Lonchura striata: one gene and its partner. The protein of the gene in region 1 interacts with the protein of each later gene in a pairwise test. Links are inferred from orthologs where the notes say so. Each region holds a gene or a part of one and is shown on either strand. Other genes may lie near its edges. The genes, in order: TSC22D1 and CCDC90B.

Region 1 (11,097 bases):
GTGTGCAGAAGCAAAAGTAACACATACAGTATTTAAAATGCAGAGATAATCAGAGGCAAGACGCCTGAAAAATAATAATGTAGGGAAACAAACCAAAGACCTCACAGATGTAGAAGAATTAAAATTACTGTTGTTGTGAATGAGTTTGTAAGTCCTTTAGCAGAAAAATAGTGCAGTATATATAACTATTGGAGTTATCAGGAAACATACCAATTGACTATTGATAAAAATTGTGTTTACTTCTGCTGTGCTCATGACCAGTCTGTGGTTACTTTCAGTAAACAGTTCAAGTTACACTACAACTAATGCATATAAAAAACAAAAGCTGAAGCTTGCTCAAGTACTGTCCCATAGAAAATTCTGGATTTCTGCAAACAAACACTTGCTTCCACAGAATATGTTTTAAATGGCTAGAAATGATGTTGACACAGCCAAAAGGGAGATGAAAACTAGATACACAAGCTTCAGACAATTGAGTTCAAGAATTTCTCTGTATTCTCCACAATCAGGAGATCCTATCTGTCTCCAGTTACTGTGTGATAATATGAGAAAAATTGTGTGGCTGTACTAAACACTAACTATACATTCTACTTTTCCAAAGAATTCAGCACTGAAGAAACCCATCTCTTCATGGGGAAAAACAAAATTTAATTCTAGGATGAGATTTTAAAGATTTGTGCCTTATCACAACAGACACATTCTCTCCTAACCATTCAAGAAAACCACACATAAATCACAGAACTTTTAGACATCACAAAATTCCCAGTGTAGTGAGGGAACACAAAGTACATTCCCAAACAAAGCATTTTCCTAAGTGCTTTCCCCTATCAGAATTAGGATCAGTCAGAAGAAAACAATTCCACACAATCTTTGCAACTGAGAACTACAAACCAAGAGCTCGGATTTTCAGCATTTTTAAACAGTCCTATGCAAAGGTTTATGATTAATTCATAAATACTAAAACTAATCTAAAAAATATGGTTGACTCCTACTTTGGTCATTGATTTACAAAAAAAAAAAAAAAGAGGGGGAAGGCTCTATTTAACTGTATGACCATTTTCCATTGATTTGATCATCTATTTCATTTAATCTTCAGCTTAATTATATATAACATTTGGCTGACTAATCAAAGATCAAACAGTTAGCAATCTAAGACCTGTACTCTACAAACAATTAAAGAAATTATCTCACTCTATAGTAGTACTGCATTCATTACAGTTGCATGTTGAGGTATCTGGGAAATACTTTCTATAACCTGGCGCTTGTATAAGATGCAAATTCATCAGTTGACTACAAATTCAAGAGAAAATGGAGGAATAAAGGAGAGCAAGATGAATATAGTGATAAAATGGTGGTGATCTTTTGGCTGTTAATTCATTAGTCATGGGCTGGTGGAGGATTTACTTTTAACCCTTGCTCCCACAATACAGTCTATATAGTCCTGTATGTAGTCTACACACCTACAAAGTTTAAAGCAATGATAAAGCTTCTAAACATCTTTCATTAATTCTGAATTTGAATACAATCCCCATTAAAAAAAGGCTGCCTACTTGGCCACATTTCTCAAGCTCAGGTATAATGAATATTTTAAAACAACTTTTCCAGATGATCTAGAAAGATATGATTTTGTGTATATTGGCATTGGAATACACCTTACTAGTCTAAAGAGAACTGATTTTTTTTTCAAGACTGCTAGATTGCAGTCTTGAATTGTTGATTTCTGCAAGCATTTATTTAATAAAAACTTGTGAGAAAGCTTCCCTTTCCCAAAAGTTCAACATTATTTAATAAGAATTAAAATAAGGGATGAAAAATGTCTCAGTAGGCGTTTTGGAATCAGTAAACTCAATCAACCAACTAACCAGCCAACTAAAAACAAAACAAGAAAGGAAGATCAAGACTTGACTTGAACTTTCTAAGAAAATGCAGAAGCAGAATTACCACTTTTTCAGGGCTGAAAGGTAAGAATTTTCTTATGACTACTTCTCTTAGAAGGAAGAAAAAAATGCATACATCTTTGCAAATCAACTTAGAAACTACAGTCAGCGATATTAATGAACAGAGAGAAGCTTTCTGTCTAAACCAACAATGGCAACTTCATGGGAAAAAATTATTTTTATTAATTTTTAAAAAAATTATTTATTAAACAGTCACACAGGACTTAAAGCACACATCAGACTGATTTTTCATGATTTTGACTGTCTTGAGTAAAAACCCCATAGTATTCCTGCTTGTTGGCTTTATAATTACTTAGTACAAAGACATAAACTACTGCATATGCTAGGATGAATGCACACAACTATGTTGAGTAGTGAAGGAGCCAAAGAAAGAAAATATTAAAATACTGCTTATTTTGATATCCTTGGAGAATCTGTGGTGGCAGCAAGGTGTTGTTTCCTGTCTGAAGAAATATTACATATACAGGAGACAGATCTCTAAATATTTACACTGTGAAGATCTTGTTCTCTTGCACTAGCCCGAACAATAAGATTTTAAAGTTGAAATAAGCATTATTCCAGACACTCACTCTCCCTGCCTGGCAGCAAGGACTGCATCAAGCTCATCTGTGCTTGTTCATTTGGGAAGTATGTATGTAAGAGATGCAATCCAAAGGGATTCCTCTATCCTGGCAACCCTCCAGCACTCTTCAGTCTGCAGCTGAGGTAATGATGGGACTGCAGGATTGTCTGCCTTGTAGTCATGAGCAGTGATCATGGTCAACAAGCTGCTCAATCCATCCAGTGATGACACAAGTAACTCTGGTTCCAGCTGACTGATCAATACAGCTAATTAAAAAATAGCAGGTAGAGCTGTTTGGAATAACTGCTGGGTATAATTTCACTTTCTACACATGGTCAGTTGTGTGGTGGCTGAATTTTTAAATATCTGGTGTTCTGTAAATTAGGTATAGGATGGAATTTCTTTTCCCACCTTGAACAACTAAAGAATACAATCCATAACAATTATAAATTCCAGTGGTTTAATTATAATTTCTTATATTTTAATAGATATGAAATTAAAATTGTTTATCTGAGAATCCCATTTTTATGCTTAGACTAATGCTTACCAAAAAATGAAAGAAAGAGAAGTAAGTTTGTACCTGAAGAAAATAGGTAAGGAAAGAAAATGGGTGTAACATGAAAATGTTCATATTTCAAGCAGCATTAAAAAATTAATTTCAATCTTGCCACTTCTGATGTGCTTTGTTTAGTCTAGACCAGTATTTGGATTGCTAACAGATCAGTGACCACATTATGCAGATAAGTTAACACTGTTATCTAAATTTCATTTTTTCTTCAGTTTCTAAGAAGAGAACAATATGGACCCAATTAATAAAAACCCCATATAACACACTGTACTATGAAGCAGCCCAACTACTCAAAATGAATATAAGTTAATTGGCATAGGCAAAGCAAATATTTAATTACTACCAGTACTACCGTTTCAATTCTTTTTCAGCCTTGCTGATATTGACTAGGTGCATACAAACTTTACAGCTCAATCCTTTTTAGGTTGCTTTTGCACAAATTTTTAAGTTTAGAAACCAACTCATCTGTATTCATAGCCTCTGTGCTTTAAAAGTAGTTGGATTTTGTTCAAACATTCAAAAATAATCTTCGAGTTACAACTCATCACAGAAACCTCTATTCCTCAAAGGAAATTGTTCTGGGAAAGTTATAAGCAGACAGAACAGGGATTTTTAATGGCTGTTGACTTGCAGTGTCGAGCCCTCATCTCAAAAATGTTTACAAGTGTGAGTATCTCATTAAAGACAATCTAAGATTTCAGTGTGGCACCAAGGATCAAGATGTAGACAGATTGTGGGCACGTTTGTGAAGCTGTCCTGAAATCTGCAAAGGTTACATGCAGCCAGCTCACTCTCAGGTAGTAGTCTTTCAGTATAGGCTGCCATCTGATTATCAGTTTTTTAAAAATAATATTGGCTTGCCCTCAGGAAAAGATGAATCCTATTTAACTATGTGTCAATTGTTCTTTAGTTTCTGTATAAAGGCAGTACAGCCATGGAAGGAGAAAGGGTTGCAAGTCTACCTTTCAGGTACCTGGAGACCTGAGCTGAATGCCTGCATTCCAGATAAAATGAATTAAACTGCAAAAGGCAGGGTTTTCTCAAAAGCCACCCCTATCCCCACACCAAATGAAAGCTAGATAAGCAAGGTTAGCAGGGAGAGGCAAGATGGAAGTGTGAAATTCAAGAACAGGCAGCAAGAGCTCTCGCTGTGTGTGACCTTGAATCCTTGCCCTTTTCACAAAATGGAGCAAGAAAAGCAGCTTTTTAGTTCCTTGGTGATTAAATGCCACATACTAAACATGGGAGACTCAAATCTCCTCTCTGCCTGAAGAAACTAACATTTATATCTCCCATAAGAACTCTCTAATGACTCAGCTATATGATATAATACCTTGGACTCTCACAACTTTTTTCCCCATTAAAGCTCTACTACTCTTCCTTATGTGTTTAAATATTCACAGCAGCAAGAGCCAAGCCCTGTTTGTTCTCCATGCTCTCTTGATCGTCCTGATCAGTGGGCTCCACAGTCAGGTTACAACATTAGCCTGAGCCCTTCAAACACTTCACCAATTCCAGGCAAGCCACAGCAATTTCAAAGCAGTGATTTGAGACACCTCCTGCCTGCTCATGGATTTCTCTGTTTGGAGACAACGTCATGCTGCCAGGAGTTGGGAATACGAGCATGGTGCACACCTTACGTAGCACCAGGCTGCCGGAGAAACAGGGCAGAGGGTGTGAACTTGTCCCGTCTCTGTAGGAATGCAGGACATCCCACCTATCGATCTCTGGAAGTCCGGCTGGAAAGGGTTCTGCTTGCAGGAGAGGTGGAGCGGTGCAAATGGTGGGGATCTATCGGGCTGGATCCACTGATCACGGTGGGGCCACGGGATGCCTGCCAGGCAGCTCTGTGCAAGGCAACAGGCACAAGGACGCGAAGGAAAAATCTCTGGGCAGGTATGTGTGCATCGAGCGTCTCTGGAGACCAGGCGGTGCTCACCGAAGGAGAGAAGCCAGCTCCGTTTGGGATGGGATGGGAGCAGCCTCACCGTGGTGGGCGTGGTGAGCTTTGCCGCCTGGCTTTGACGATGCTGGCACTTGAACAGTGAAGGAAGGTCTGTTAATTTCACCTCGATCCCGTTTAATAAGTTTTGTACTTTTTTTTTTTTTTTTTTTTTAATCAGTGCTTCTGTATGGTTCGTCTGGAGCTTTCATGAGAAGCTCCTCCACACACAGACACACGCCCATGGACACAGCGCAGGTGGATGCGGAGGAACGATCCCACCTGACCTCCGGGCATCCCTGCCCGGCAGTACGGAGGGCGCCTGCGGCCCCCGCCGCGGCTGGGATGGAGCGGGCAGCGGGGCGAGCCGCCCGCCCCGGGCACAAAGGGAAAGCGGCCCCGAGCGAGGGGGATGCGCGCACACTCCGCTCTCCTCCCCACGCGCGGGGGAAGGAGCGGGCAGGAATATTCTGGACCGAGGGAGGGGAGGAAGGAGAGAAGGCGATGAATAACTTGAATAAATCTGCAGCGGAGCTGAGGAGGGGGGAGGGAAACGGCGGCAGGTCATGTGAGGCACAGTCATGCTGCGGGCAGAGAGGGGGCACCTGGCGGGTACACGACGCGGCCGGGGAGGGGGACGGGCCGCCGCCCGCCATGGCCGCGGCCTCGCCCCCTCCTCGGCCGGGACACCCCCGCCCGCCGCGGGCTCGGCCATTTCCGCCACGCGAGCCGAGCCCTATTTCCGCCGGCCCCGGCCAGACGGGCTTTATGTCTGCCGGCGGGGCGCGCGTGCGCGGCGGCCGCCGCCATCTTACGTTGTCTCTCGCCCGCCCTCCCCTTTGGCGAGCTCTCCCCTCCTCCCCCCCGCGGCGCCTCCTCCGGCGCTCTGTGAGGAGACGGGGCCGGCACGGGGAGGGAGAGACCCGCGGCGGCGGGGAAGCCGGGAGTAAACCCTGAGGGAAGAAAGGACGGGGCGGACGCACACGCGGGAGGAGGAGGACGGATTCCAGGCGCGGTTCTGCGGAGGACGAGCGGGTGCCGCCTGTTATAAAGGGGGAGGAGGCGGCGGAGGGGGAAGGAAGAGCGTGCACAGCGGAGCCTCCTCCAGAGACAGCCAGACACAGGGAGGAGAGAGAGGCTGCCTGGCTGGCTCCCCCTTCCTCCCTCCCTCTCTCCTTTTCATGGACTCTTTTGTCGGGTTGCTGCTGCTGCTTTTCTTCCGTCCTTATTCCGTCTCTCTGATATCCAAAATGATTCAGCTCCATGGCTGCCACTGACGGGGATGTCCCTGCCCGGCTCAGCCTGCCGCTGCCGCCCTGCTGTGCGCCAGTCCTGTACGTATCCGCGCCTTCCTCCTCCTCCCGCTCCTAAGAGCGGTGATGGCGAGGGGCGCCGGCCGCCTCGCCGGGCTGCCCTGCGGGCCCGCCGGCACCCCTCGCCCCGCCGAGGCAGGGAGGGAGGGAGCGAGGGAGGGCGGTGCTGCCGGCGAGCCGCGGCGCCCGGCGGAGCCTCCGCGGGGAGGAGGAAGGGGCTCGCCCCCGGGCCGGCCGGCTGGCTGCCCTCCCGGGTGAGGCGCAGTCGGAGGGCTGGGGACGGGGGGGCGGCCGAGCAGGGAGGCGGTGGTAGGGTGGCGGGAGGGAGGGTGGTAGGGAGGAAGAAAGTGAATGGCGGAGGATTGAAAGTGTCACATTCAGAGGCGGCGGAGGACCGGTGCTCGCCCCCTCCCTGTCTCGGAGGGGAGGGGGAGGGGAGAGGGGTGGTGGTGAGCGGCGGTGCCGAGCCGCCTCAGCCCGTGCGCTGCGGGAGCCGGGAGGGCTGTGCGTGGTGGTGTCTGCCCTGCCCTGAGCACGCAGCTAACCGTGTGTGTGTGTATGTGTGTCTGTCTGTCTCTTTCCATACCGGGGGATTGCACTCTTAAAATACACTCGATACAATGCACCAGCCTGACTCAGCCGCAGACATTAGTGCTAGGAAGATGGCGCACCCGGCGATGTTTCCTAGAAGGGGCAGCAGCAGTAGCAGCGGCAGCGGCTGCGTTACTGCTCCCACTGCACCAGGTACCGGCGTTGGGAGCGCTGCCCTCTCTGCCGAGGATTATCAGCCGCCTTTGCTGGTCCAGCCGCCGCCTCCATCTCCTGCAGCAGCTTCAACAGTGGGTCCACAGCCGACACCCCCTCATCCACAAAGCCTGAACCTCCTCTCGCAGTCTCAGCTCCAGCCACAGCCCCTTGCACAGACTGGAGCTCAAATGAAAAAGAAAAGTGGCTTTCAAATTACCAGTGTGACCCCTGCTCAAATATCAGCTAGTATGAGCTCTAATAACAGCATAGCCGAGGATACAGAAAGTTACGATGACCTGGATGAGTCTCACACTGAAGACCTCTCATCTTCTGAAATCTTGGATGTGTCTTTATCCAGAGCCACTGACATGGGAGAACCTGAGAGGAGCTCTTCCGAAGAGACTCTAAATAACTTCCAAGAGGCAGAGACTCCTGGGGCTGTTTCTCCAAACCAGCCTCATCTTCCTCAGCAGCATGCTCCTCAGCCTCATCACCCACAGCAGAGTGTTGTGATCAATGGAAGTGTTCATCCCCATCATGTTCATCATCACCACCATCTTCACCACCACCATCACGGACACCATCATCCATCACATCCTGGGGTGGGTAGTGCCCCAATTTCTGGAGGACCGCCACCCAGTCCATCGTTTAGAAAACTATCAACAACTGGAAGCTCTGACAATGTTATATCAACTGCACCAGTTTCTGCTGCATCATCCACTGGTTCCCCAGCATCTGCTGTGTCTAATATCCGCACTACAAGTAGTCCTGGCAATTTAGGTATAAGTCCTGCTCCTGGAACTAGTACCTTAAGTAATATTGGTGGTGGTAGTTCTAATGTGGCAAGCAATGTGCTTGGTACTATAAATTTAAGCAACATCATGAGTACTGGTAATGTAAATGCTTTGTCTGGAACTAGCAGCAATGCTAATGTGAATATCTTGAGTGGTGTTGGCAATGGTACGAGTGCTTCCTCTAGTGTCATTAACAATGCTACTAATCCAACTGCAGGAGTGGCAGTGGGATCAAGCCAGCAGCAGCCTGCATCTGGCACGTCGAGGTTTAGGGTTGTAAAATTAGATTCTAGTTCTGAACCTTTCAAAAAAGGTAGATGGACATGCACTGAATTCTATGATAAAGAAAACACTGTTGCAGTTTCGGAGGGAGTAGCAGTAAACAAAGCAGTAGAGACGATAAAACAAAACCCGCTTGAAGTGACTTCTGAAAGGGAGAGCACCAGTGGGAGTTCTGTTAGCAGCAATGTAAGCACACTGAGTCACTATACAGAAAGTGTGGGAAGTGGAGAAATGGGAGCACCTACTGTGGTACAGCAGCAAGCATTTCAAGGTGTGGGTCCGCAGCAGATGGATTTTAGCAGTGCTGCTCCTCCAGCAATTCCAGCATCTAGTATACCACAGAGTGTTTCTCAATCACAGCTTGCACAAGTCCAGCTGCATTCTCAAGAAGTAAACTATCCACAGCAGAAGCCAGGGGTCCAGACTCCTGCACAGGCCAGTCTAACCACTGTTCCTGGGGTTCAGCCAGCCCCAGTTAATATACTAGGTGTATCCCCATCTCTGGGCCACCAGCAACCTGCCCTTCAGAGTATGGCTCAACAGCAGCTGCCATATTCGCAGCCGGCGCAGCCTGTGCAGACTTTGCCAGTGGTGCAGCAGCAGTTGCAGTACGGACAGCAGCAGCAGCAGCAACAGCAGCCAGTTCCTGCGCAGATGGCCGCGGGTCACGTTAAGCCGGTGAACCAAAACTCTGTCACGGGGGCTATGCCAGACTACATTCAACATCAGCAGATCCTTCAGACTCCAGCCCCTGCCATGCAGCCAAGTTCTGCAGGAGTAGGAGCTGGGCAACCGGTTCCTGTTGCCCAGGCACAAGGCATGCAGCCTTCAGTTCAAGCACATCCAGCTGCTGCCCCAGCTCAGCCTGTTGCACATGCTCCAGCAGCAATACCAGGTGTAGCTGCCAGTGGTCAAATGCTAAATGTTGGGCAGCAAGGAAGTGTAGCTGCTGTGGTGCAACCACCATCTGCTACAAACCAAATTCCACCTCCAGTTATGCCATCAACGGCTGCTCCTCCATCTTCCCAAGTAGTGCAGCCTGTGCAGACAGGAATAATGCAGCAAGGATTGCAGGCTAGCACTACAGGCCTTCCTCAACAAATGGTCATTGCTCAGCAAAACACCTTGTTGCCTGTACAGCCACAGGCACAAGGAGTGGAATCTGTAGTCCAAGGGATGACTGGCCAGCAGCTGCCCGCAGTGAGCCCTATACCCTCTGGTAGTGCTGTTCCTGCACCAAGTCAAGCTGGTTCAGCTGTGCCTCCTGGCATACCTTCTGCTTCTGTAGGTTTGGGACAGCCGCAGAGTATAGCACAGGCTTCGGCTGTGCAGAATGGTAATTTGGCTCAAAGTGTTAGTCAGCCTCCCTTGATATCAACAAGTATAGGTATGCCAGTGGCACAGAGTGTGCCGCAGCAGATGCCATTAAGCTCTACCCAGTTCCCTGCACAATCACTAGCTCAGTCCATTGTAAGCCAAATCGAAGACGGCAGACGCCCTACAGAGCCTTCCTTGGCGGGTTTACCTCAAGCTGCCAACGTTGAGAGTGGTGGTGGAGCATCGGCCGCTTCAGATGGCGGTAGCAGCAACATGCCATCCTCGGCGTCCCTCTTCCCGCTGAAGGTGCTGCCGTTGACAACACCTCTTGTAGATGGTGAGGATGAGAGGTAAGACTGCCTGTAACTTTATTAAAAGATGGACTCTCTGATAGTTTGATTTGCACTAACTTGCAGTTCTTGTTACAGCCATTCTCTGAAATGAAGCAGTGTGATGTTTCTGTCTAATTAAAATACTATTTCTCAGGTCTCAGTGCATGCAGATATTGTATTAAAGAACTTGTTTTCCACTTGAGGGGGTGGGTTGTATTGATTATGCTTTGAAACTACTGTGTGGGTAAATTGTGCTTAGCAGTCTGTTCAGTGTGTATATTCCCACAGTGTTGAGGAAGACGAGAATACTGTAGAGTATACTAGTGGTGATTGCAGTTTAGGTTATTTATTATATGAAAATAATTAATATTTATTCTTAGGTATTTTTTTTCACAAGCCTAGACTTCATCCTGGCTTAGCTTCTCTTTTTAAAGTATTGACTTTACTAAGGTTGAACCAGTTGTGATTCTTTGGTATATTCAAAACCTCTTTGATGGCCAAAAGATGCTTTAGGCAAATGAGTATGGTGGGATAAGGGATGTTCAGCAACATTGTTGTGGCTCTTTGAATTGAACTAGGGGTATTTTTTGTCTTGATGGTGTCGCTTCAAAGTGTTCATGTGTGGCGAGATCTGCTTAGGCCTGCCAAAGCGTGGTGAACCTTTGCATGTGATGTACCAATTCTGTGCAGTTGGAGTAAGAAAACTTCTATTTTTTCCCCCATTTTCACTAGTTCAAACTACATGTATTCTCTCACCTTCACCTTTTCAAGTAAATGACCACTGCTTAGTCTTAACAGTACCTGCATGTTAATATTCTCATTTCTTTGACAGTGTGTGCAGAGAAGTTGAGACCATTGTGTGTGCAGGCTGAGTTGATTGTAACATCAATTTTAAAGTCTGGAAAGTCCTCAATGGGTTGAGGACCTCTTCTGATAAGGGTTTGTGAATGCCCCGTAAAACTGGTGCTTCTTCCAAAGAACTTCCTAAGAAACTACATTAATGGAGAAATAACTTTTAAGATAAATAACCCTCCTTGGGAATGTGGAGCAGGATAGAAAAGACTAGAAAAACTGAGACTAGGGTGAGGAGACAAAATAAGGTACTGAACACAAGGTGGGAAAATGCTGTAGCAATGGGAGGTGAAGCACTTTTTAAATACCTTCTTGGTGCCATAATTTAAATCAGGAGTAATACCAGTGGCTAGACTTTATTATTTTTTTTTTTTAATAAATTAGGTTGCTGGGAGAGGCTGGATTCTTTTCTTAATAATGAAAATCCTAA
Region 2 (10,519 bases), about 25 Mb from region 1:
TGGCAGTTTTTTCCCCCTTCTTTGCCTGTGCATGCAGCTTTTGCTCTCCCCATTAAACTATCGCTAGTTCAAACCACAAATCTGATCTTCTGTTTTCTCCCCATCCCATGAGGGAGGGGAGTCAGTGAGCAGCTGGGTAGGTGCCTGTTAGGCACAACTGTCTGCTCCAAGCGCAGCATGGGGCCTGAGATAACAGGTTCCATTTGAGCATTCTATCAGCAGTTAGAGTTGTTAGAGGCAGGTACTGTGCTGGTCATGCAGCTTGTGTTCTTTGCTGTATATTACAGTCCAAGGCCATTTCTGCTGTTTGCTGTGGTGCTTACTGCTTTACTTCACTGTGCCTGGACACCTTTTGAAAAAGGCAGTGGCCGTGTGCAAGGGCACTGATGCTCCTCTTGTGCTGCGTGAGCTCCCTTGCAGGAAGCACTAGGGATTACACCTCCCTCTGCTCCCCTGGGATAGATGTGTCCAGTTTTTTTGTGTGGGCTCCCAAGCTCCCTGTACATGATCATGCATGCTGTTTGAATATGTTCTCAAGCATTGTTGGATTGCTGGTGGGCTTGCAGAACCTGACTGGCACAAGGGTAAACAAAGCATAAAGCATTGTTGGTGAGGTAACAAAGAAATGTGCACCAAGATGGCCAGTTGGTGCTGCCAAGGTTTGTGGGAGGATTTGGGAAGGTGCCTAGAGCCAGTGCCTAGAGCAGTTATCACCTTCAATAGCCTGAGATTTTACACTTGAACAGGCACATAAACCTGTTGAACTGGCTCACACTTGAAAGAAGGTGCCTTACCTAAATCAATGAGACCAAACAAATTTTGGCAATATTTTTTGGCTTGGCCTCTGCCTACTGAGCCTCAGCCCAGCACCATTAGAAGAGGCAGGATGAGGGAGTGACAAAGAGACAAAGGAGGCAGAAATCACTCAGGCCATAAAGCCTGAGTTTTAAAGGAGCTGCAAGATCTGTGGGGAAATTACAGCCACAAGGTGAGCAGATTGCTACCTGGTTGCTCCAACATCAGGATACTGGGGTCTGCTACCAGGAGTTAGCCAGCAAGCCAGGCAGCTGGGATCCCTAAGGAGACACACCAGGATTGGCAAAGGGAAGCCTTTGGATGTAATTCCTGTTGACAATGAAAGTCAGTTACTCCCTCAAGGATGACTTGGTACAATGCCTGGGCAAGTGAACCACCACTGTAAAAGGCATCCAATGCTTGAGGGAAGTAGAGGTGGTGGGACTGCACCCAGTCCATGTGCAGAAGGTGCACATAACTCACCGCTGTTGAATGCCAGCACCGTGGGGCTGATGCACTGGACAGACCCCGAACCACTAACTACAGAGTGACTGTTCCAATGGCTCCCAGGATTCAAAGAGAACTTCCCCTCCTCCCCCTGACCAAAGGTCTAGGTCTCGGCTAGAGATGCCCCTCAGAGTTGTCTCTGTCCTGTCAGAGGGAAAGGGGGATCCAGGGCATGCCATGCCAGCCTGTGGTTCCTCCTGCACAATCGGGAGGATGAAGAAGGGGAACAATGTGCCCACCTCAAATCTAGAAGCCCACATGCACGGACTACAAGGAAAACCACTGCTACAAAGCACCCATCCAAGAAGACCGGTTTGACAGCCTGGCATGTGATCCACAGAAGCGGAAGGCTTTGCTGGACACTGACGCACAGTGTACCCTGACATCATCAGATTACAAGGGAGCAGAATCCATCTGGATTTCTGGAGTGACCTAGACTGGGGATGTCAGGGTCAGTTATCCACAGCTTAGTGAGCCCATGAAACATCACGACATCTAGGAAAAGAAGCAATATGTGGGTGGGCTTATGCTTGAGGGGTGCACCTGACAACCAAAGTACCACACAGGTGGTAGATGGAAGTTCTGTGAAGGGCACGGAGAGGATAATTCAGAAAGATGGGCAAGAGGAGCATCAGGCAACAAGTACCAAAGACTTTTTTCCCTAACTAATTTCCACACTGGAATTGAATTGACTTTGTCTGCATGCAGGATCTACATACTGAGATTTCACAACAGTGACATGCTGATGCACAGTTTGGGCTTCTCAGTGCAACAAGATTACAATGAATGAGCAGTAGCCTCTGCTGATACAAGTCGGCACAAGTCAGCATGGTTCCATCGACTGCAGCCACCTCACCGACTTAGACAAGACTTAATCAAATACATCTGTGATCACTCTTCTATTATTCCTTCCCACTGGGGTCTCAGGGTTATTCAAGATACCAACAAGGATGAAAATCAACATCATGTCAGTCACAGCTTCAAAGTCTGTCTGTCCACAGCCCATACTCCATCTAAATTTAATTTAGTAAGATTTATCTGAGCCTGATGTAAGTAAATTAATCATGCAGAGCACTGACCCATCCTACCCCCGGCTACTATGCCCCACCCTGCATGTTTATTTGGAAGGTAATCTAATTTGCTGCAAATGTGCTTATCTAGATGGAAAGCAAGCTGTGATAGATACACCTTAGGAGGAAGAAAGCTTTCCAGGACACATGCCTCAGTGAATTTGTATGAGGAATACAGAATCTATTGTCCTGTTGTTGTTGATCTGCATTATTCACCTGCTCCCCGCTCTTTGTCTCCATGTGTTTGTGAAGCACTGTTAAGCTCCAGTCAGTTCAAAACTGGGTAGAATGCACCAGCCCTTCTCCCTGAGTTTCCCATAAAGAAAGCTTAAGCAACTCTAGAGAGCTGCTGGGTAACAACCTCCCACCTGCAAGGTACTTTTATCAAATGAGAGTGAAATCCTGAGAGATGTTTGCTAACACGACGCTGAAGCACAAGAGCCCACTGAATAGCCAGCAGTGGCATAGCCTGGCTTTGTAACACAGAAGAGAGTCAGAGCACAACACATTGACCTGAGTAAGGAACACTGAGGAGGTCTCATGTTCCTAAATATATACAATACCAACCAGTGCTGAAACAACGAGAGGGCAAAATTGTGATTAATAGCATCTTCTAGATGCAAGCTATCTTCTGTCCCACTCTGGGCTGTTGCATCTTGCTCAGCTTTGCCTCCCAAGCTCCCAAGTGTATCTTGCACTTTGGCTTTGTCTCACCAGTGTGGTAAGAGAAGGATCAGATTCCCAGCAGTACTTTCCTCTTACTCCCTGAGGTGAAGCAGAACAGACCTGGAAGGGAGGTGTGCTGGTGGATGCTGAGGCAGTGATAATAGATAGATGGTCCCAATACCAGACAGAGGATGTATCTTGTTATTTCCCCTCTTTCCAGCCATCTCACTGGTTTCAACACTTTTCACTTGGTGGTCCACATCCACTTGCCTTCCCTATTTTCATCCATTTCAGAGGAGAGCCTTCTACCCTACAGCTCTACTCTACATCCTTGCAGTGTATGGCAGTGTTGTAAATGCAGGCGAACCCAATGCAATGAAATGACAATGTCTGACTCAATTCAGAAGGCTGAATTATTTCTTTATTATAACTATGCTAAAATACATTAATATACTATATAAAGGAAGATACTAAAACTACATGCTGCTTTCTCTAACTCTATATCTAACCCTTAACACAACTCGTGACCCTCTCAAGAGAGTCCAGACACAGATGGATTGGATTGGCCATCAGGCTCAAACAACCTCACTAGAATCAAATCAAGCATTCACTCCAGGTAAAAAATTCTCCAAACACATTACACATGAGAAAAACAAGGAGAAGAAATAGAAATTGTTTTCTCTTTCATTTCTCTCTGTGCGCCTCTATGAAATATCCTGAGAGGGAGAAATGTGCTGCCACATGGCAGCATGAAAGTAATCCCTGCTGCAGGCCCTCAGCCAGACAAACGGACTGATAATATCGAGATGTGTGAGTTGTGTGTGTGCAAAAGCTGTAGAATAGCCAGCTGAGAGCACAGGAATGGCTGTCCTCCACTGAATGCGTACTAATGAGAATAGAACAGAGCAGAAGGGTGAACTGATCAGAACACAGCCGATCCGGCTGTAGGCTGCTGCCCTCCTATGGCAAACTGGGACAGCAGTCCTGGTGCCCGGAGCAGCTCTCTGTACCGAGTTCAGCTGCTGGCTCCGGCTGACAGAAAGCACAGCTTCCAAACACCCAGTTTGTCATCTCGCTGTTTGTCTGAAGTAGAAAATCAACACCCTGGGGCACTCGGCCTTTCTGCACTGCCAGGGAAGCTTTTGTGGATGGAAAGAACTGTGCGCTGCTCAAGGAGCATTTGCCATCCTGAGCCTGTGTGTGACAGCGTTGAACAAAAACATCCCTGCAGAAAAGGTGCAGATCTGCGGCTCTTCCCCCTTAGTGACAGCTCTTTGTTGCTATTGTTGGGGTTTCTTTCTAATGTCTGTGTTTCAGCAACACAGGAGCTGGTGATTCGTGGCCCCATGAGGCACTCATGAAGTTCAACAAGTGCAGGGGGCTGCATCTGGTGGGGCAATCCCATATATGAGCACAGACTGCAAGAGGAACTTACTGAGAGCAGCTCTGAGGAGAATGACTTGGGGGCTCTCATGTATAAAAAGCTGAACACAGCCTGGCAGTGTGTGCTCACAGCCCAGAAAGCCAATTGTGTGCTGAGCTACAGCAAAAGCAGCGTGGGCAGCAGGGCGACAAGGGATTCTGCCCTTCTGCTCTGCTCTTGTGAGATCCCACCCGGAGTGCTGTGTCCAGCTCTTGGGACCTCAACACAAGAAGAAGGATGTGGATCTGTTGGAGCAAGTCCAGGGGAGGCCACAAAGATGATCAAAGGGCTGGAGCACCTCTCCTACAAAGGCTGAGAGAATTGAGCGCGTCCACCCAGGAAGAGGCTTAAAGGGAAACCTCACTGCAACCTCCCAGCACCCTGAGGGGGCTTGTGAAAAGACAGAGACTTTTTAAATGAGCCGATAGTGATGGGACATGCGGCAAGGGTTTTAAACCAAGAGGACAAGTTTAGATTAGATATTAGGAAGAAATTCTTTACCCCGAGGGGGGGCAGTCATTGGCACCAGTTTCCCAGAAAAGATATCTCTGAGGTGTTAGATAGAAACATCATATCCCTGTACTCCCCAGTTACTTTCCTGGTGAACCAAGAAATTCATTCATAATGAAAATTAGACTTGTATGTATTAAAAAAAAAATGTAGCATTATGTTCACGTAAATCACTGAGATTTGGATTAGATATAAGGAAGAACTTTACTGTGAGGGTGGTGAGGCACTGGCATGTGTTGCCCCGAGAAAGCTGTGGATGCCCCTTCCCTGGAAGTGTTCAAGGCGATGGATAGGACTTAGGGCAAGCTGCTCTGGTGGCAGGTGCCTGTGCCCATGGCAGGGGTTAGGAACTAGATGATCCTCAGGCGCGTTTTCCCGGCGTTTCACTGAGCGGAGCCGCCGCACGGCGCGGCCCCGGCTGAGGGCGGCTCGGCGGCCCCGGCGCTGCGCTCCTCCCACCGCACGAGGGCGCCGCGCCGCCGCCTCCGGCCGAGCCCTGCCGCACACTACAGTACCCAGCACGCCCCGCGGGGCTGGCCGGAAGCGGCAGTGGGCGGGCGGAAGCGCCGGGCTGGGGCGCCATGAGGGGCGTCGGGAGCAGCGGCGCCCTCCGCGCCTGGGCCGGGCCGCTCCTGCTCCCGGTGCCGGCCCGGCTGCCCCCGGCTCCTCGCAGAGGTGAGAGGCGCCGTGCTGCGGCCCCTCGGGGTGGGTGGCTGCCGGTGTCGGGTGAGCCCGTGTCTGTGAGCGGCGCTGGGGCTGCACAGGGCGCGGGGCCCGTCCCTGAGGCGCTGCGTGAGGGAGCGCTGAGCGCCTTCCCTCGGGGCTGGAGCAAGGGGTGAGTGCGTAGGGGCTGTCAGGGGTGTTCGGGACGGGAGGAGAGGCCGGGGTGCAGGGGGCGTCATCCGGAGGTTGTCTCAGGTACGCGTGTGCGGAGTGGTTTTCTCAGCTCCTGGGAGAGGAGCATCCGCCCGAGACTGCAGCAGTGGAGCAACCAGAGCTGAAATACCGGCTTTCTTGAGACAGTGTCTGTGCAATGTAGCTCTTCAACCCAAAGAAAAAATCCACCTATGTGTTTAGAAGATAAGAGTCGTGTGTTTAAAACCTGGGACAGCTCCATAAAAACGCTTTAAATTGGTTTTCTTTATTTGTGTGTAGCATCTGGTGCATCTTAACTCTGATGTTGTCATTAATAATAAAGTGCTGTGCCTGGTTTAGTTGTAGTCTGATTTTTATAGTATTTGTAAGATAGCACATAACTTGATTTATCTAGTAGTGGCACAAAATTATAAATTCCATATTGTTTAAATGTTATAAAGCTTTTGAGTAAAGATCTGGATAAGACACAGAATTTGGTTAAGTCAGAGAGCCAGCAGTGCATGTAGTTTCACATGAACAGATGAAGAAGTAACAGGGCTGCTTAGAGAACAGAGAATCAGAGCAGAATCTGTAATATGCAAAGCCACACAAACATAAGGTGAAGAGAAACATATGCTTGAAGTAAAAGTAGGAGAAGCAGTGAAACCTGCTTGTGGGAGAGCACATCATAAATAGAGTGGATCGTTAACTAATACCCGAGGTTAACTAATATCTCTGTAGAGATTAGGTATTCCTCATCTCTGAGGTGTTAGATAAAACATCATATCCCTTTATTGCCCAGTTACTTTCCTGGAACCAAGAAATTAATTCATCTTGAAAATAAGATTTGCATATATATTCTTTTTACTTGTAGCTTTATGTTCACACAAGCCACTGAAAATGAGATATTTGGATTAGGCATAAGGAAGAAATTCTTTACTGTGAGGCTGTTGAGGCACTGGCACAGGCTACCCAGGGAAACTGTGGATGCCCCATCCCTGGAAGCTTCAAGGCCAGGTTGGGTGGGGCTTTGACCAGCCTGATCTGGTGGAAGGTGTCCCTGCCCATGGCAGGGGTTTGGAGCTAGATGATCTTTAAGGTCCCTTCCAAACCAAACCATTCTATGATTCTGTGATAAAATAAAAAGCTGTTGGAATTAAGGCTCAGTGATTCAAATAAAACAGCAATAAATGCTTGATTGCATAAAGTCATTCAGTGTTTTTTACAAGTATGAAAATTATTTCAGTGATGTTTCCCAAATATTATCAAACAGTTGGCTGTGGGGTTTATTTGTGCTGTATCAGGATGCTTGTCTGTTGTACAGTTATATGAACACACTTCAGACAGATCTGTAAGTCCTGTTTAATGTAAATTCCCTGTGGAAAAGGGTTGATGGTTTCTGGTGTGTTGAACCCAGCTTTTTGTTGCAACATCCATACAGCTTTTCTGTGATGAAAGAAATGAAGATTAGTGTATTGCATGATAAGCCAATCAAGGTAAGATTAAGGCATGTTTGGTTGTTTCCAGGTTTTGCTGCCACAATCGTTAGGAAGTCATATGATGTCAGAAGAGTTGATATCACTCCCCTGGAGCAGAGGAAGGTGACTTTTGATACCCATGCTTTAGTGCAGGATCTGGAAGCCCATGGTAAGTGATGTCAGATAAATAATTCAAAGGAAAAATTTTAATATTAAGTAGTGTAACTTTGAGTGCTGTCAGTTTCCCCTGAGTACCAGTGGTGTAAAATGTTTTAGCAGCCTCTTGAGGAGGCTGGTGAAGGAGAGGCATCTGATGGTGTGCCCTACAAATAACTAGGACATTAGATTGACCTCATTTGTAGCTGTAAGCAGGTTTATGTGGTGTCTTCCAGCTGAAGAACACAACACAGGTAACAAATGTGAAGTAACAGTTAAAGACTTCTACAGCAAAAGTGAAGCTCTTCAATAAAATCCTTCTATTAGCCTGCTAAGAGTAGCTGAAGGGTTTTTTCCTAGTGAGAAATATTCTCAGCAGCAAGGTGCTGTGATACATTCTCAATGCCCACTCCTCTGTTGTGAGTGAGGCTGGCTGAATTCAGATAAAGGGTTCATCCAGCCCTGGGTTCTGTCTCCTGGCAGCAGCTGAGTCAGAGCCTGCAGAGGAGTGTTATAACAGGGTAGATGTATGTCACACATCCTCTTGTATTTTCCAGGTTTCTAGTTTCTGTCACCATGGAGTTACTTTAAATTGGTTGAGAGTTTTAGTAACCGTCAGTGGAAATCTTTTCACAAGTTTATGCAGTCCCTGAGCCACTATAAACTGATTACTATCCAGAGCATGCTTTCTCATGGAACTTCAGGCATCTGTGTGGTCTGTTTATGCAGAATCTGGCATCTGTGAGGTGCATTTGATGCTCACTCAGCTCCTTTGTGGGAAGGAGTGAACATTTTATCTCTCATGTCACTCAGAATTATGCAAACTTCTGTCTATTGCCCTGTCATTTTCCAAACAGAAGAATCCTAGCTTGTTGCTTTTTTTCCTGAAGCAGTAGATTTTCCATATTTTTGATTATTCACTATGCCCTTCTGTTAGTATTTTCTGCTTCTGTCACATTCCATTCCATTTCAGGCTTTCAGGGAACAGTGCTGGCATTACTTGACAACTGAATGTCCTATGGATTTGCATAGTAAAGTAATGCTGGGTCCACTGTTCCTTTTCCTAGTCATTCAAAGGGTTTGGTTAGCTTTATTCATCCCTGCTGAGCTTTGAGCTGATATCTTCATCAGACGAGCAACTATTTTTTAAAATCCCAAGTGACAGTAGAAACTTCGTACTGTCAGAGTTTATAATTGTTTCCACTATTTGGGTCTAATAATAATATGTGTTAGTAGTTAAAAGACTCACAGTAATCTGCTGTGTTTATTTTTATCATGCTTGTCAGACTTGACAGCCTGCACTTCCCTACATCGCTCTAGAACTGCTTTTTAAAACTGGCACTTTTATTTTCCACAGTAAGCTGTGAAATCTTACTTGTCCTAGAGACTGATTCAGCTATTTCTTCTTCAACTTCCTTTAGGACTTGTGGGATAAAGTCTGGTGCCAGTTGTTACTCAGTTTAATTTGTTCTATAACTTCTACAAATACTTCTACCACAGTGACAGATCTTTATAGGTAAAACCACAAAAATAAGAGAGCCATTTTAGTTTTTCCCAAGCTTTTGGCAGTTTTCAGGCTTCAGTCTCTTGCTTACATTTTTTTTTTTTTTTCCTCATTTTCTAAACTTTCACAAAACAAAGTAATTTCTTGCTGTGGAGGAAGAGCAACATAAGGAATTGGCAAGAGTTCAACTAACCCTGAAAATTCAGAGAACCTGAAGCAATACTATCACACTTTGTAGTGGGAAGAAGCTGCTGTAAGGCACATGTACGTTTTTTAGACATGTAAGCCAGTGGTGCACCTGGACAGTAACAGTATTTTAGAAGGGTGCAGTGGTATAGTTCTCTAAATAATGTGCCTTGAAAGCAATTTTCAATGTTAATTTAGCCCACTTTATGGAATGGGCTAGTTGAAACACAACATACCAGTCAGATTGCTGGAAATAAATCTCTAGGGCAAAAGCTCTCAGCACCTGACCAGATCTGACTAAAATGAGAGCAATTTTTCTTCCCCATTATTCACCACGCATCATCTGTAACACTTCAAAATTACACCAAGCTACAGGCAAAGTGTATTTTTTATCATCAGAAAGCAAAAATCCCAGTTTGAGTTAATTCTGCAAGCAATGGATGAAGCAGTTTAAAAATCAGTTTTGCCTATGTTCCTATCTCTGCAGGACAGTTCCAATATATGCAGAAATACTTACTATTCTATAGAGTGTATGCTTTGTAGCTCAAGGTAAGTTTGGTTTTAACAGAATTTGTGAATGTTCATTATGAAGTTTTGCTAAATTATTTTAATAATGCATGAACGGCTGGATCTTCTACAGAGAAATTTGGTCTTTCTTTCAGGTGCATGTGTAGACTTTCAGTATATTAAAAGGTACTGTGCTTCAGATTTTTGCAGCATTAACTTTGTTTTGTCTACCTGAAGTCACAGTGCCTGGCTGTCAGTTCCCAGTTATTGTGTGAATTCCCATGTGCTGCTGTGGTAAGGTCTGGCACTTGAGCATCTCTTGCTCCTCATCCAGATTTTTAATACCACCATAACTTACCATCCTTCAATTATCCCCTAGGCTTTGGGAAGGAGCAAGCACAGACCATTGTGTCAGCGTTGATAACCCTGTCCAATGTCAGCTTAGACACCGTCTACAAGGACATGGTCACACAGGCCCAGCAGGTAAAAACTCATCTGTGCTGTGTAGCTATAAAAGCCCTGTTTGCTTCTTTAAAACAAAAGTGAGCAGCTCTCTCTAGTACTATAAATACCTCCCTGTGCCAGGTTTTCCTAAGTTTCACTTGGGATTTTAACAGATAGTTATAGGGCCTGACCAGCTTCCACTGAAGTCTGACTACTTCATTGAACACAATGAAGTTTGTACAATTCCTGGGAAAACTCTGGTTGCATTTACACTGAGGAGCTAATATGCCTCATGCCATCTTAAAACATTCATTATCAATATTAACTACACTATAAAAGCCAGTGTTTCTGCCTAATTCAATTCCATGCCAACTCTGTTCAGGACGCTTTGCGTGTAATAGGATTTTTAAAAAGAAAG

Evidence for each region.
Region 2: the proteins of TSC22D1 (region 1) and CCDC90B interact in a two-hybrid assay, tested with the Homo sapiens proteins (2 studies listed by BioGRID and IntAct). The link is inferred for Lonchura striata from reciprocal best matches to the Homo sapiens genes TSC22D1 and CCDC90B.

Annotation. Positions count from the first base shown.
Region 1 is NC_134604.1:60,755,086-60,766,182, reverse strand, and holds the start of TSC22D1 (TSC22 domain family protein 1), read left to right. Parts: upstream 1-5,885; 5' UTR 5,886-6,364; intron 6,365-6,972; 5' UTR 6,973-7,005; coding exon 7,006-9,833; intron 9,834-11,097. UniProt on the Homo sapiens protein: Transcriptional repressor. Acts on the C-type natriuretic peptide (CNP) promoter. Acts to promote CASP3-mediated apoptosis.
Region 2 is NC_134604.1:36,119,675-36,130,193, forward strand, and holds the start of CCDC90B (coiled-coil domain-containing protein 90B, mitochondrial), read left to right. Parts: upstream 1-5,518; 5' UTR 5,519-5,552; coding exon 5,553-5,646; intron 5,647-5,678; exon of another isoform or gene 5,679-5,806; intron 5,807-7,353; coding exon 7,354-7,473; intron 7,474-8,929; exon of another isoform or gene 8,930-9,699; intron 9,700-10,036; coding exon 10,037-10,140; intron 10,141-10,519.